2 linked regions of the Saccharomyces cerevisiae S288C genome follow. The protein of the gene in region 2 binds, or shares a complex with, the protein of the main gene of each other region. Each region holds a gene or a part of one and is shown on either strand. Other genes may lie near its edges. A codon is read from its position in the direction of its gene.

What was found. Proteins that work in one complex are often made in the same cells at the same time.
Region 1: the proteins of TIM18 (region 2) and SDH3 are in contact, whole or in part, in a cryo-EM structure (PDB 6LO8), measured with the Saccharomyces cerevisiae proteins. Residues at the interface, in NP_014940.4 of Saccharomyces cerevisiae: Gln63 (codon at 5,605), Met64 (codon at 5,602), Pro67 (codon at 5,593), Pro68 (codon at 5,590), Glu69 (codon at 5,587), Phe70 (codon at 5,584), Arg83 (codon at 5,545), Lys86 (codon at 5,536), Tyr87 (codon at 5,533), Ile90 (codon at 5,524), Thr93 (codon at 5,515), Met94 (codon at 5,512), Phe97 (codon at 5,503), Phe101 (codon at 5,491), Ser115 (codon at 5,449), Phe118 (codon at 5,440), Leu119 (codon at 5,437), Tyr121 (codon at 5,431), Leu122 (codon at 5,428), Gln123 (codon at 5,425), Gly125 (codon at 5,419), Phe126 (codon at 5,416), Tyr133 (codon at 5,395), Gly153 (codon at 5,335), Ser154 (codon at 5,332), Leu156 (codon at 5,326), Ser157 (codon at 5,323), Tyr159 (codon at 5,317), Gly160 (codon at 5,314), Ile161 (codon at 5,311); in NP_012781.1 of Saccharomyces cerevisiae: Leu92 (codon at 824), Ser93 (codon at 821), His96 (codon at 812), Arg97 (codon at 809), Leu100 (codon at 800), Val101 (codon at 797), Met103 (codon at 791), Gly104 (codon at 788), Leu105 (codon at 785), Phe107 (codon at 779), Tyr108 (codon at 776), Phe110 (codon at 770), Thr111 (codon at 767), Ile112 (codon at 764), Phe114 (codon at 758), Gly115 (codon at 755), Ser117 (codon at 749), Gly118 (codon at 746), Leu119 (codon at 743), Gly123 (codon at 731), Leu124 (codon at 728), Thr125 (codon at 725), Thr126 (codon at 722), Ser130 (codon at 710), Tyr133 (codon at 701), His134 (codon at 698), Lys146 (codon at 662), Phe153 (codon at 641), His156 (codon at 632), Tyr157 (codon at 629).

The regions. Positions count from the first base shown.
Region 1 is NC_001143.9:177,947-180,763, reverse strand, and holds SDH3 (succinate dehydrogenase cytochrome b subunit SDH3), read right to left. Parts: upstream 1,098-2,817; coding exon 501-1,097; downstream 1-500. Other genes in the region: MRP8 (Mrp8p), read right to left, coding at 1,590-2,249; ribosome biogenesis protein LTV1, read right to left, coding at 2,592-2,817. UniProt on the Saccharomyces cerevisiae protein: Membrane-anchoring mono-heme cytochrome b subunit of succinate dehydrogenase (SDH) that is involved in system II of the mitochondrial electron transport chain and is responsible for transferring electrons from succinate to ubiquinone (coenzyme Q).
Region 2 is NC_001147.6:869,531-877,069, forward strand, and holds TIM18 (Tim18p), read right to left. Parts: upstream 5,792-7,539; coding exon 5,213-5,791; downstream 1-5,212. Other genes in the region: UAF30 (Uaf30p), read left to right, coding at 1-364; YOR296W (uncharacterized protein), read left to right, coding at 672-4,541; MUM3 (Mum3p), read left to right, coding at 6,069-7,508. UniProt on the Saccharomyces cerevisiae protein: Component of the TIM22 complex, a complex that mediates the import and insertion of multi-pass transmembrane proteins into the mitochondrial inner membrane.

The DNA.
Region 1 (2,817 bases), on a different chromosome or scaffold from region 2:
TTTTTTAAAATAGTGCTAGAATAATAAAGTTTTGTTCGAATTGTTTTCTTTCTTCTTTCCTTGTTCCTTAATATCTCTGCACACCTAGTTATTCCTCGAAAATAATTCTTCTTGTATTTACTTTATACAAAAGAAAAATGACCGCCTATGTTTGCTTTTTCTTGCCAGTAACAAATAATAGCTTCAATAAGTATCCGGAAAGAAATTATCTTGATATCTGTAAAAAATCACTGATATTTTGTTGAATATGATTACTCTTGCGCTATCTTTTCCTGTTTTTCCTCTTGTTTGTTCCTTTATTTTCTCTATTGTATTTTACAGAAAGGCAAAAAAATAAAAAATGTGCCCCTAGTAAATATAGGTTTGTGTTAATCGGCATTTTGGGTTATAAAGATCTTAAAGAATAAATAAGTGCGGTATTGGGTCATATATAGGAACGTATATATAAAATTGGCTATATATATATTTGTGTGTAGAAACAGGTGCGTCGCCTTAAAGAATCATAAAGTTAATAAATAAGTACCGAGAACGGCGGTGAAACCAATGAGAGCGTAACCAGTTCTGTAAACGCCTTTCAATGTCAATTCCTTAGCGGTATCCCAGATCAAGTGTCTAATGGCGCCACCATAGTGAATTGCAAATAAGTAAGCAAAGGAACCCTTGATGGACCATTCGGTAATCTTGGAAAACTTCTGATGGTACCAATTAGAAACCTTTTCGGTAGTCAATCCAAGACCTAATAAACCAGAGACTCCGAAGAGTATAGTAAACAAGTAGAAACCTAGTCCCATAAGCACCAACGAAATACGGTGAAGAGAAGACAGGTACCAAGTTAATTGTGGCTGGTAAATGGTCAGATGTGGAGAAATAGGTCTCTTTGCTCTTTGCTTGTTTAATATTTGTTCTTCAGCAATTGCCGCTTTGGTGTTCATTTCACTGGCCACATTCTTCAATGGTGAGGTAGAAAGGAAGTTTGTTCTAGCTGTATTAAAAAGCAGCCTCCTCGAGGAGCTCAAGGCAGCTGCTCTTGAAAAGGCGGAGGGTTTCAGTAATAGAGCCGACTTATTCAGTCCTAACTTGACCATCATTGCAGACATCGTTTATTATTCTTAGAGCTTGTGATTGGCAATTTTTGGTTGGTCCTGAGATTTCTATGCGGGGATCTCGATATCATAATGCCAGTGCACATTTATACAAGTACCAAACGCTTAGAGCGGAAAACGGAGCGGGCTACCGCAGCCAATCAGAATGGACCTGGTCAAAAGTTAGATGATGCTTAAGACTACTGAATGGTATACAAGGTAATATATAGAAGGCTGTTGGTATACAGCTTTCAATCACAGATAAAAAGTATAGGTATACTTATGGGAGGAAAACTTTGAATTCTTTTCTTCTCTTTTTCACCACTAGAACATCCTTTAACTGCAATGCCGCGGAAAACATAGGTTTCATTGAAAGAGAATCCTGTTATGATATACTCAAAACTATATGTATATAGATATATATATATATATAAGTGAGGGAAATTTCTAGAACCTGGAACTCAAGCCCTCTTATTCATTGATTTTTCATTTTTTTTCATTTTCTGTTTACCATATTTCGGTTCCTCTTCTAAGGGAGAGACCTAGATAGCGGGCAACATCATTAAATGCATCATCTAGCTCATCTTTGGAGAACTTTTCCAACTCCTTAGAAATCTCTTCATCAGTGGTCTCATTAATGTGAAAGGCTTCCACCTTACCTTCCAGGAAGTTTTCAAAATCTTCTTGTTCCTTTAGAGTTGGTGGCAATCTTTCGTAGAATTTAGCAAGTCTTACCAGTTTTAAGTCTGGGATGTCTTTAAATTCTTTCAACGACTTAGGGAACACTCCGTCTGAAATAGCAGGAATATCACCATCTGCATTAGGCAGTGGCGCTATAACGTCATCATCATCTTTTTTCAAAGAGTTAACAAGTCTTCTGATAGACCTTTCCTCGATGAAATTTAGCTCACCCTGTAGTTCTTTGACTAATTCCACTAGATCTTCATTTGTGGCAAAATCAGTGGCATCGAATTGAGTAGCGGATCCTGATTTCTTCGAGATAGATTTAGAGAATTTCGAATCAAAATCAGTTACGTCGTGCTTTTGTTTATCTAACTGCAATTCCAGCACACGCTCTCCTGTCTTAGAGATAATCAGACTTTGCTTCTTCACTAAGTCTTGTAATTCAGAGACTTGCTTCTGCAGTAATTCAATTTCGTTAGACATTTTCTTCCTGCTATTTATTTATGTGTATTTACTTCCTTTCTTAAAATGTACTTTATCTGCGGAATACGAGTAGTAAGACAAGATATCTCAAACGGTTACTAATTTGAACGGCTCTTTGAAGCAATGCACGCCGGTTTTCTTTATACTAAAACAATATTTGAATAATGAAAATCGACCTCCTTCCTCCACCCCCTTTCTCCGAAATCCACAAAGAGCACCGCCGCGTTTCATAATTATTACCCGGTGGGCAGGATGTATTTTAGCATCAATGCATTCTAGGCTAAGTATACATGTCTACACAGTACTTGTAATGTAGGTGCTTTCTCATCTCATTCTACTCCTCTAAAATTTTAAGCTGCTTAGTGTATTGGTGACCTTCTCAAGTTTCTTTTTCTCTTGCCTTTCACGATTTCTTCTCTGAGACAGTTTACCTTTGCTTACTTCATCAGCAGCTTCCTTCAGCCTTTCAATTTCTTTATCTTTCTTAGCCAGTTTACGGCCACCACTCTCCAGTTCGTAATTGTCCAAAAAGTCATCAAGCATTGACTCAAAATCAGATCTTTCTGCT
Region 2 (7,539 bases):
GAAGAAAAAAGGGACTGTTAGTAAGTCACCTATTTCAACACGAAAAGTTACACTATCTAAATCATTAGCGAGTTTGCTAGGAGAGCATGAATTGACGAGGACCGAAGTAGTACGACGACTCTGGGCATATATTAAAGCGCATAATCTGCAGAATCCTAACAACAAGAAAGAAATACTGTGCGACGAAAAATTAGAATTAATACTTGGCAAGAGTACCAATATGTTTGAGATGCACAAAATTTTGGCAAGTCATATGACAGAGCCTAAAAAAATAAGCGACTGTCCTCCTCTTATCCAAGAAGTCCGTAGAAAGGAAAAGCCCATCGTTTCAGATTCCGAGCAATCAGATACAAAGGGCATTTGAATCAAGGATATCATGAAAATTTCAAGGCGTTGAAATTTGTGTTGTTAAGGCAACACTATAGGAATGAAAAATGGCCTCTCTATTATAAAGTCCTTTTGCCTTATTTTTTCGGTAGCTGCCTACAATTTGTAACGTTAACATTCCCGGGTGAAAAGATACATGAGTATGTAGAGATTTGTATATATATACCTACGTAGAAAATAGAAAGGCGAATAGCTCTGCTCCTAGTTGAATATTAGTAGCGTTCTCACATCATTAAGAGGATAAGCCGGCATTTTATAGGGCTTTTGCAGCTAGTGTGAAACTTATGAATCGAACAGTCTCCACATTATCATCTACTGTATCTGATGTATCCGTGGAAATACCGTCAATATGCAACGTCATTAATACCGAATTACCAACATCAGATGTCTATCTTTACACTTTAAAACTAATTTTGTTGGATTATATCAACGAACCGCGATTTAAAGAAGCAGCTTTGCTATCGAATAGGACAGGAACGTCAAGGGTTTTATCTGACAAAACGAATCATCAGCAAACGCAACATGGGAAGAAACTAGTGGTTGACAAACAAGACGATATGTCGGAACGCGATATAGTACAGGCAACTTTACGTATATTAAAAGGGAAGTTGGCACAAATTTCAGGAAATAAAAACTTGGCGCCGAATGAGATGCATTGGAAAAGTATTGTTAAGATGTATTATAGCATGCTCGATTCTTCTAGTGCAGATACATTTTCCAAGATGGGTCAAATGGAGGAGGTGGTCGGTTATTTCACAAATATTGCCAGTAATGAACTAAAGAAAATGACTATTAAAAATTCTCGTGACGAGCTGTTCAGTGAAGTTGCTTATTTTATAGACCTAGTAATTGATGTACTTCCAGATAGTTGTGCAAATATCATAAAGAGACTGCTTGATTATAAGATTAATCTTAAAAAAGGCGAGACAACAGTAAAGAAGAAAAGAGCCGCCTCACCTGCCACAGTCCCTCAATATAGAAGCATTTCCGGGAGCACGATTAGCAATAAGCAACCCTCTTTCAAAGTCCAAGATATTTCACATATGAAGTATTTTATGCAGTTATTCGAAACAGATGAAACAAAGCTTCACCAAGACGTAATGGCTGTTAAGGACGATTGTACAAATCCCATATTTTGCGGTGAACTAAGATATCTTAGGAAAAAAATCAAGAAAGACAACGGTACTTTGACGGCTTCTGATTTTTCAAGTGACAGAGAATACAATTTATGGAAGAATTATGAACTTCTTGAAATTGCAAATTTAATGGATCGATTTGAGATAGGCGAAAAGGTTACCTCTCACGGAAACCGTCTTATACCCAAGGATGCAAAAAGCGTATTTGTCCGTCTCATAGGCCTTGTTTTAAAAAAAGAGTGTTCTAATGCTGTAAATGCCATAAATCTTTCTCAAGAAGCTCTATTCTTCTTTCATAAATCAGCGAGGTATTGGAGAATAGAATATCCTTCCACCATCTCCTCGTTGGTTTATTCAGCAGCAAATTTAAGTGTTCTAGGAGATGAAGAGCTAAATATCCCAATAACTGAAAACTTGTTTTCTGTCATCCGCAATAAATATTTATGTTCAGAGGATAATCTGGATCCATCCGCTTGGAATGCTCAGGATCGCTATTTATGGGCTGCAAACCTTTTTCATACGACTGATCAGTCTATGAGGACAATAAATAACCTTTTAACTGCGATATTTTCAGGTACAAAGCCAAAATTTTCTCCAGTTTTGTCATTTTATTATTCAAACATTGTTGGGGATCCAGTAATGGAATTCTATGAAACGCAGTCCGTAGCTGTAAAGAAATACTGGATCAAATTATTTAAGAAGACTCTTTTTAAAGCATCAGAGGATTATTTTGTCTCCCTTCTGCAGGATATGCTAAAGGCTAACGCAATAGAAATTCAAAACGTTCAGAATCTCGTAGAAACAATTATAGAAGCCATAAAAGCGATTCAAAAACGTTACAATAAACCTTTATTGGACGAAATATCTCTGCCTAGACAATGCGCAGTATTTCTATGTGAAGTATACGGTTCGGATTCTTTAAATCTAATAAAAACCGCTGAAAAGAGTACCATGAAAATGACTGGACAAAAGTTGGGTCCAATAGATGCGCTAGATATGTATGATGTACTGAAAGAACTGAGACAGATTTACCTGCAGGTAAAGCCAAAAGGGAAATTTTTCTTTAACCTTGAAAATTATTTCATCAAATATTTGACTCGATTATGTGATGATGTGAGCCGTAATGTTCAAAAAGTTATTAAATCTTCACTAGAAAGCGAGAATTGGCAACCCGTAAATGACCAGGACCATTTCAGTAGATCAGTTTTGGACATATTCAAAATGATAAATGAATCAACTAGCATGTTGGAGAAATTTGGTTGGCAAAATGAATTTCAACTGGCACAAATGATCACGGTAATATTAAAGGCGTTTTCAGATGGTATGCTTTCATACTCAGCTCAACTAATGGAATTGATCCAGAGAGATTTACAGGAGGGTGATGAACCATCCTACTCTTTAGAAAGCTCAGACACTCGATCTTCACTTAGCCTGAATAACGCTAACGTAAATCATGAAAAATCAAGAAGTAGTAGGCTGTTTGAAGATTTGAAAAATGTAGTTAAATCAACTCCGAAGATGGTAGCTCCTGCTCCATATCAGTTCAAGAAGCGTACGTGCGTACTGCTAAATGATCTTGATAAAACACTTTTTCTGTTAGAGAGCTTCGAAGAAAAAGCAGATCCATCAAAAATATCCTCTGTTATTGCACAGTACCACTCCTCCCATAATTTAGAGGATAATGGGAAGTCATTCGATGACCAGAATATGAAGCAAGTTTATACCCTTCGAATTATCGGTGCTGAAAATATTAAAGGCTTCAGCAAAACGGGGCTTTCAAACACCTACGTTTCCATGAGAAACATCACTTTACAACGGGAAATAGGTACTACTAAGATTGTTGCAAGATCGATTACTCCCAAATGGGACGAAGAGTTTGTGTTTGAGTCTCCATTCGGAAAGTCGAACGATATTATGTTTACTATATGGCACCACCCACACAGCAGATTAAAGAATTTAGCGGAAGATGATCTATGTGGAAAAGCCAATATGAAATTCACTCCGAGAAAGCTCAAGGATGATGGGTTTCCTATCGATTTTTCGCTCACATTGAATCCGCAGGGAACTTTATATTGCCAAATATCCCTGGAAAGTGAGAAAATAGATGCCGTTTCTTCTATGGGAAGAATATATAGATCTTTTAGCAGGTCAAGAGATCGTGCAATAAACCTAATAGTCAACAAATTTTCTGATTTTATTGCATTTGCCTTCTCGAGAACCACATTAAAAACAGTGTGTGGTCACCATGGTTCTGCACTTGCGTCTGACGAAGCAGTATATGACGCAATTTTACCACTATTTGACTATTTAAACGCAAATTTGAACATTCTGGCATCAGAACTTTCACAGAGATTGTTGTTTATGGTAATGCTAAGAGCGTGGAACCTCGTTTTAGAGAACGCTGATTTACTTCTTCTACCTGCATTGAATAGCGCTAAAGTTAATATATTGCGTTCAGCAAAGAAATCTTTGTGGGAAAATACTCTTTCAACCACAAAAACGGTATCAGGATACGGTCGTCCTTTGACTCAAGCGGAAATCGAGGCTGTATTCAAATGGCTTGATGCGCTGTGTGTAGATTTTTTTCATAATAAAGGAGAAGGTCCCCCTCTTGCAGAATTGAAAAATGAGTATTACCAAAATATATTGCTGATCCCAGCTTTTTATGATAAAAGTGTCTCCGAATTGAAGGATGAAGTTCAGCGATTGATTCCCCTATATGAAGAGTATTTGAGATGGTTTTATCTGAAGAAAACTCCGATTACTTTTACGAATAAATCCGCTGGAACAATATCTCGAAAAAAGTCGCTAGTAGCTAACATTGTAAAAGAGCCTAAGGAACAACTGGAACGTGATGCAGAAGTAATGAATATTATATTGAGAATATTGATCGCGAAAGGCCAACATGATTACGTTCATCGAATTTTACATGACAGAAAAGAACTTGTTAATACTATGAAAAATAGAAGAGCGGTGAGTAGAGCGGTCACTCCTACAGGAAAAAAGGGCAGAAACTGAAGTCTCTTTTATATATATACATGGGGTGCTGACTAAACAGTTCCACCCTATATTTGAGCGTCGATAAAAAATGAATGAACGTGTATCATCGTTTATTATAAGAATCATAGTTTTATGGACAAGTTTTCCGTTTAGCATTTATACCCATATAGTAAAAAGTTTCGCAGATAGTGCGATAGTTGTATTCTGATTGCCTTATTATTATTTCACTAATTCTTTATTCACGTAGAGCATGACACTTTTTTTATGTGTTTCCTTTTGATTGTGAAATAAAGGCGAATCCTAACAAATATTAAAATGTTTCAATACATTGATAAAAATTGTAAACATTATTTTTTTGTAGTATAAAAATTCGTTCCTCATCATTAAAGAAACAAAAAGCATACAGATAATAATAAAAAAGGCACTTTAGACAGAATGAGAATACTAGCAATCACGAATTCCTACTTTTCCTTTCTGTATCCCTAGGCGTTTCACTCGACAAGAATTGATCGTCTTGTACCAATCCAAGCAGATCGATATATACATATATATCTGGATTTCGAGAAGAAGGATATATTTTATTGCTTATTTGTCTTTTTATAAAATCTCTCCTAAGTTAAGTTCATGGGGAATCTGACTCTAAAAATGAAATCTTAGAAATGCAAAAAAAAAGAAAAAGTATGGGTGAGTCAGTTTCTTCCAAATATATACAAATGGTCATCATTTTCATTCCAAAGTTTCTTTACCAGGTCAACAAAACCATTATTTTTCGTTTCCAATTCGTAGATACCGTACAGGGACAACATGGATCCTCCATAGAGGCAATAAAGGGCGAGCTTATGCCATCTTGGATACTTTTCCTTCGGTATATAGTCAATAATACAACTTGTGAAGCCATACTGTAAATATATCAAAAAAATGGACGATAAAGACGCATCGAGTAAAGGATTTATAACCCCGCCGGTAAAGGAGGCATAAAAAGGTACCATTGTTAATGGAATCAAAGTATATTTTGCTATTCTCTCATAGTCTTTTTGATAAGAGTCCTTAAATTGAGAGAACTCTGGGGGCTTAAACATCTGCACTGAAGAGGATGCCTCTTTTGACGTATTTGCAATATCGTTTATTTTATTTTCAGCATTTAAACGATTAATGCTATAAAAGGATCTTTTGGTTGAAAGTACTAATCCTGGAAAAACAGCTCGTACAGGATTTACAATGACAGTGGAAGCATTAAGAACAGGCTTCAAGCCAGGAAACAATAGCATTACCAAAGGTATTAAATTACTCAGTTGTTGCACCTCGCATCACCGTTAATTAATGTGTGCATTCCACTGTCTGGAAGTTTTCATTTTTATCCGATCTTTTGCGAGAATGGTTTGTTTTTCAAAAAAACCGAGTGTCAACAAGGCATGTAGCGACACAAAATGAAAAATTGAAAGTTAACAGGGCAAGATATGCACCATAATAGATTCATTGTTAATCTTAATCAAATAAAATTTCTCTTTTCCACACAGAAAACTAAACGAAAGGTATAACTTTAAGATGGGTTTTGTTGATTTCTTCGAAACATATATGGTCGGTTCTAGGGTCCAGTTCAAACAGTTAGATATTTCTGATTGGTTGAGTCTGACCCCAAGGTTGCTTATTCTTTTTGGCTATTTTTACCTTCATTCTTTTTTTACTGCAATCAATCAATTCCTACAGTTCATTAACACGAATTCCTTCTGTCTTAGACTGCATTTACTATATGACAGATTTTGGTCGCATGTGCCCATAATAGGTGAGTACAAAATTCGGCTGCTCTCGAGGGCACTGACATATAGTAAACTGAAAATAATACCAACTTTAGACAAGGTGCTGGAGGCGATTGAAATTTGGTTTCAGCTACATTTAGTTGAAATGACCTTCGAAAAAAAAAAAAACGTCCAAATTTTCATAACCGAGGGAAGTGATGACCTAAACTTTTTTAAAGATAGCAAATTCCAAACCACATTAATGATATGTAATCATCGATCAGTGAATGACTACACATTGATTAATTACCTTTTTCTCAAAAGTTGTCCCACCAAGTTTTATACTAAATGGGAATTTCTACAAAAGCTGAGGAAGGGGGAAGATCTAGCTGAATGGCCTCAGTTAAAATTTCTTGGTTGGGGAAAAATGTTTAACTTTCCTCGATTGGATCTACTAAAGAACATATTCTTCAAAGATGAAACACTCGCACTCTCATCGAATGAGTTAAGAGATATTTTAGAAAGACAAAACAATCAAGCTATTACTATTTTTCCCGAAGTCAATATCATGAGTTTGGAACTATCAATTATTCAAAGAAAATTACACCAAGATTTTCCCTTTGTTATAAACTTCTATAATTTATTATACCCAAGATTTAAAAACTTTACCACTTTGATGGCTGCTTTTTCATCAATTAAAAACATCAAAAGAAAGAAAAACCGTAACAATATAATCAAAGAGGCCCGATACCTGTTTCACAGAGAACTTGACAAATTAGTTCACAAGAGCATGAAAATGGAGTCTTCCAAGGTATCCGATAAGACGACGCCGCCCATGATCGTAGATAATTCATACTTACTTACAAAAAAGGAAGAAATCAGCAGCGGCAAGCCCAAGGTGGTACGAATCAATCCATACATATATGATGTCACCATAATTTATTACCGAGTCAAATATACTGATAGTGGGCATGATCATACCAACGGAGATTTGAGACTTCATAAAGGTTATCAATTAGAGCAAATATCTCCGACAATCTTTGAGATGATTCAACCAGAAATGGAGTCTGAAAACAACATAAAGGATAAGGACCCCATTGTTGTGATGGTAAATGTAAAAAAGCATCAAATTCAACCATTACTCGCATACAATGATGAGAGTTTAGAAAAGTGGCTTGAAAATAGGTGGATAGAAAAAGATAGATTAATCGAGTCCTTGCAAAAAAATATTAAAATTGAGACCAAATAAAGATCCTGAATCATAATATATACGTGTGTAC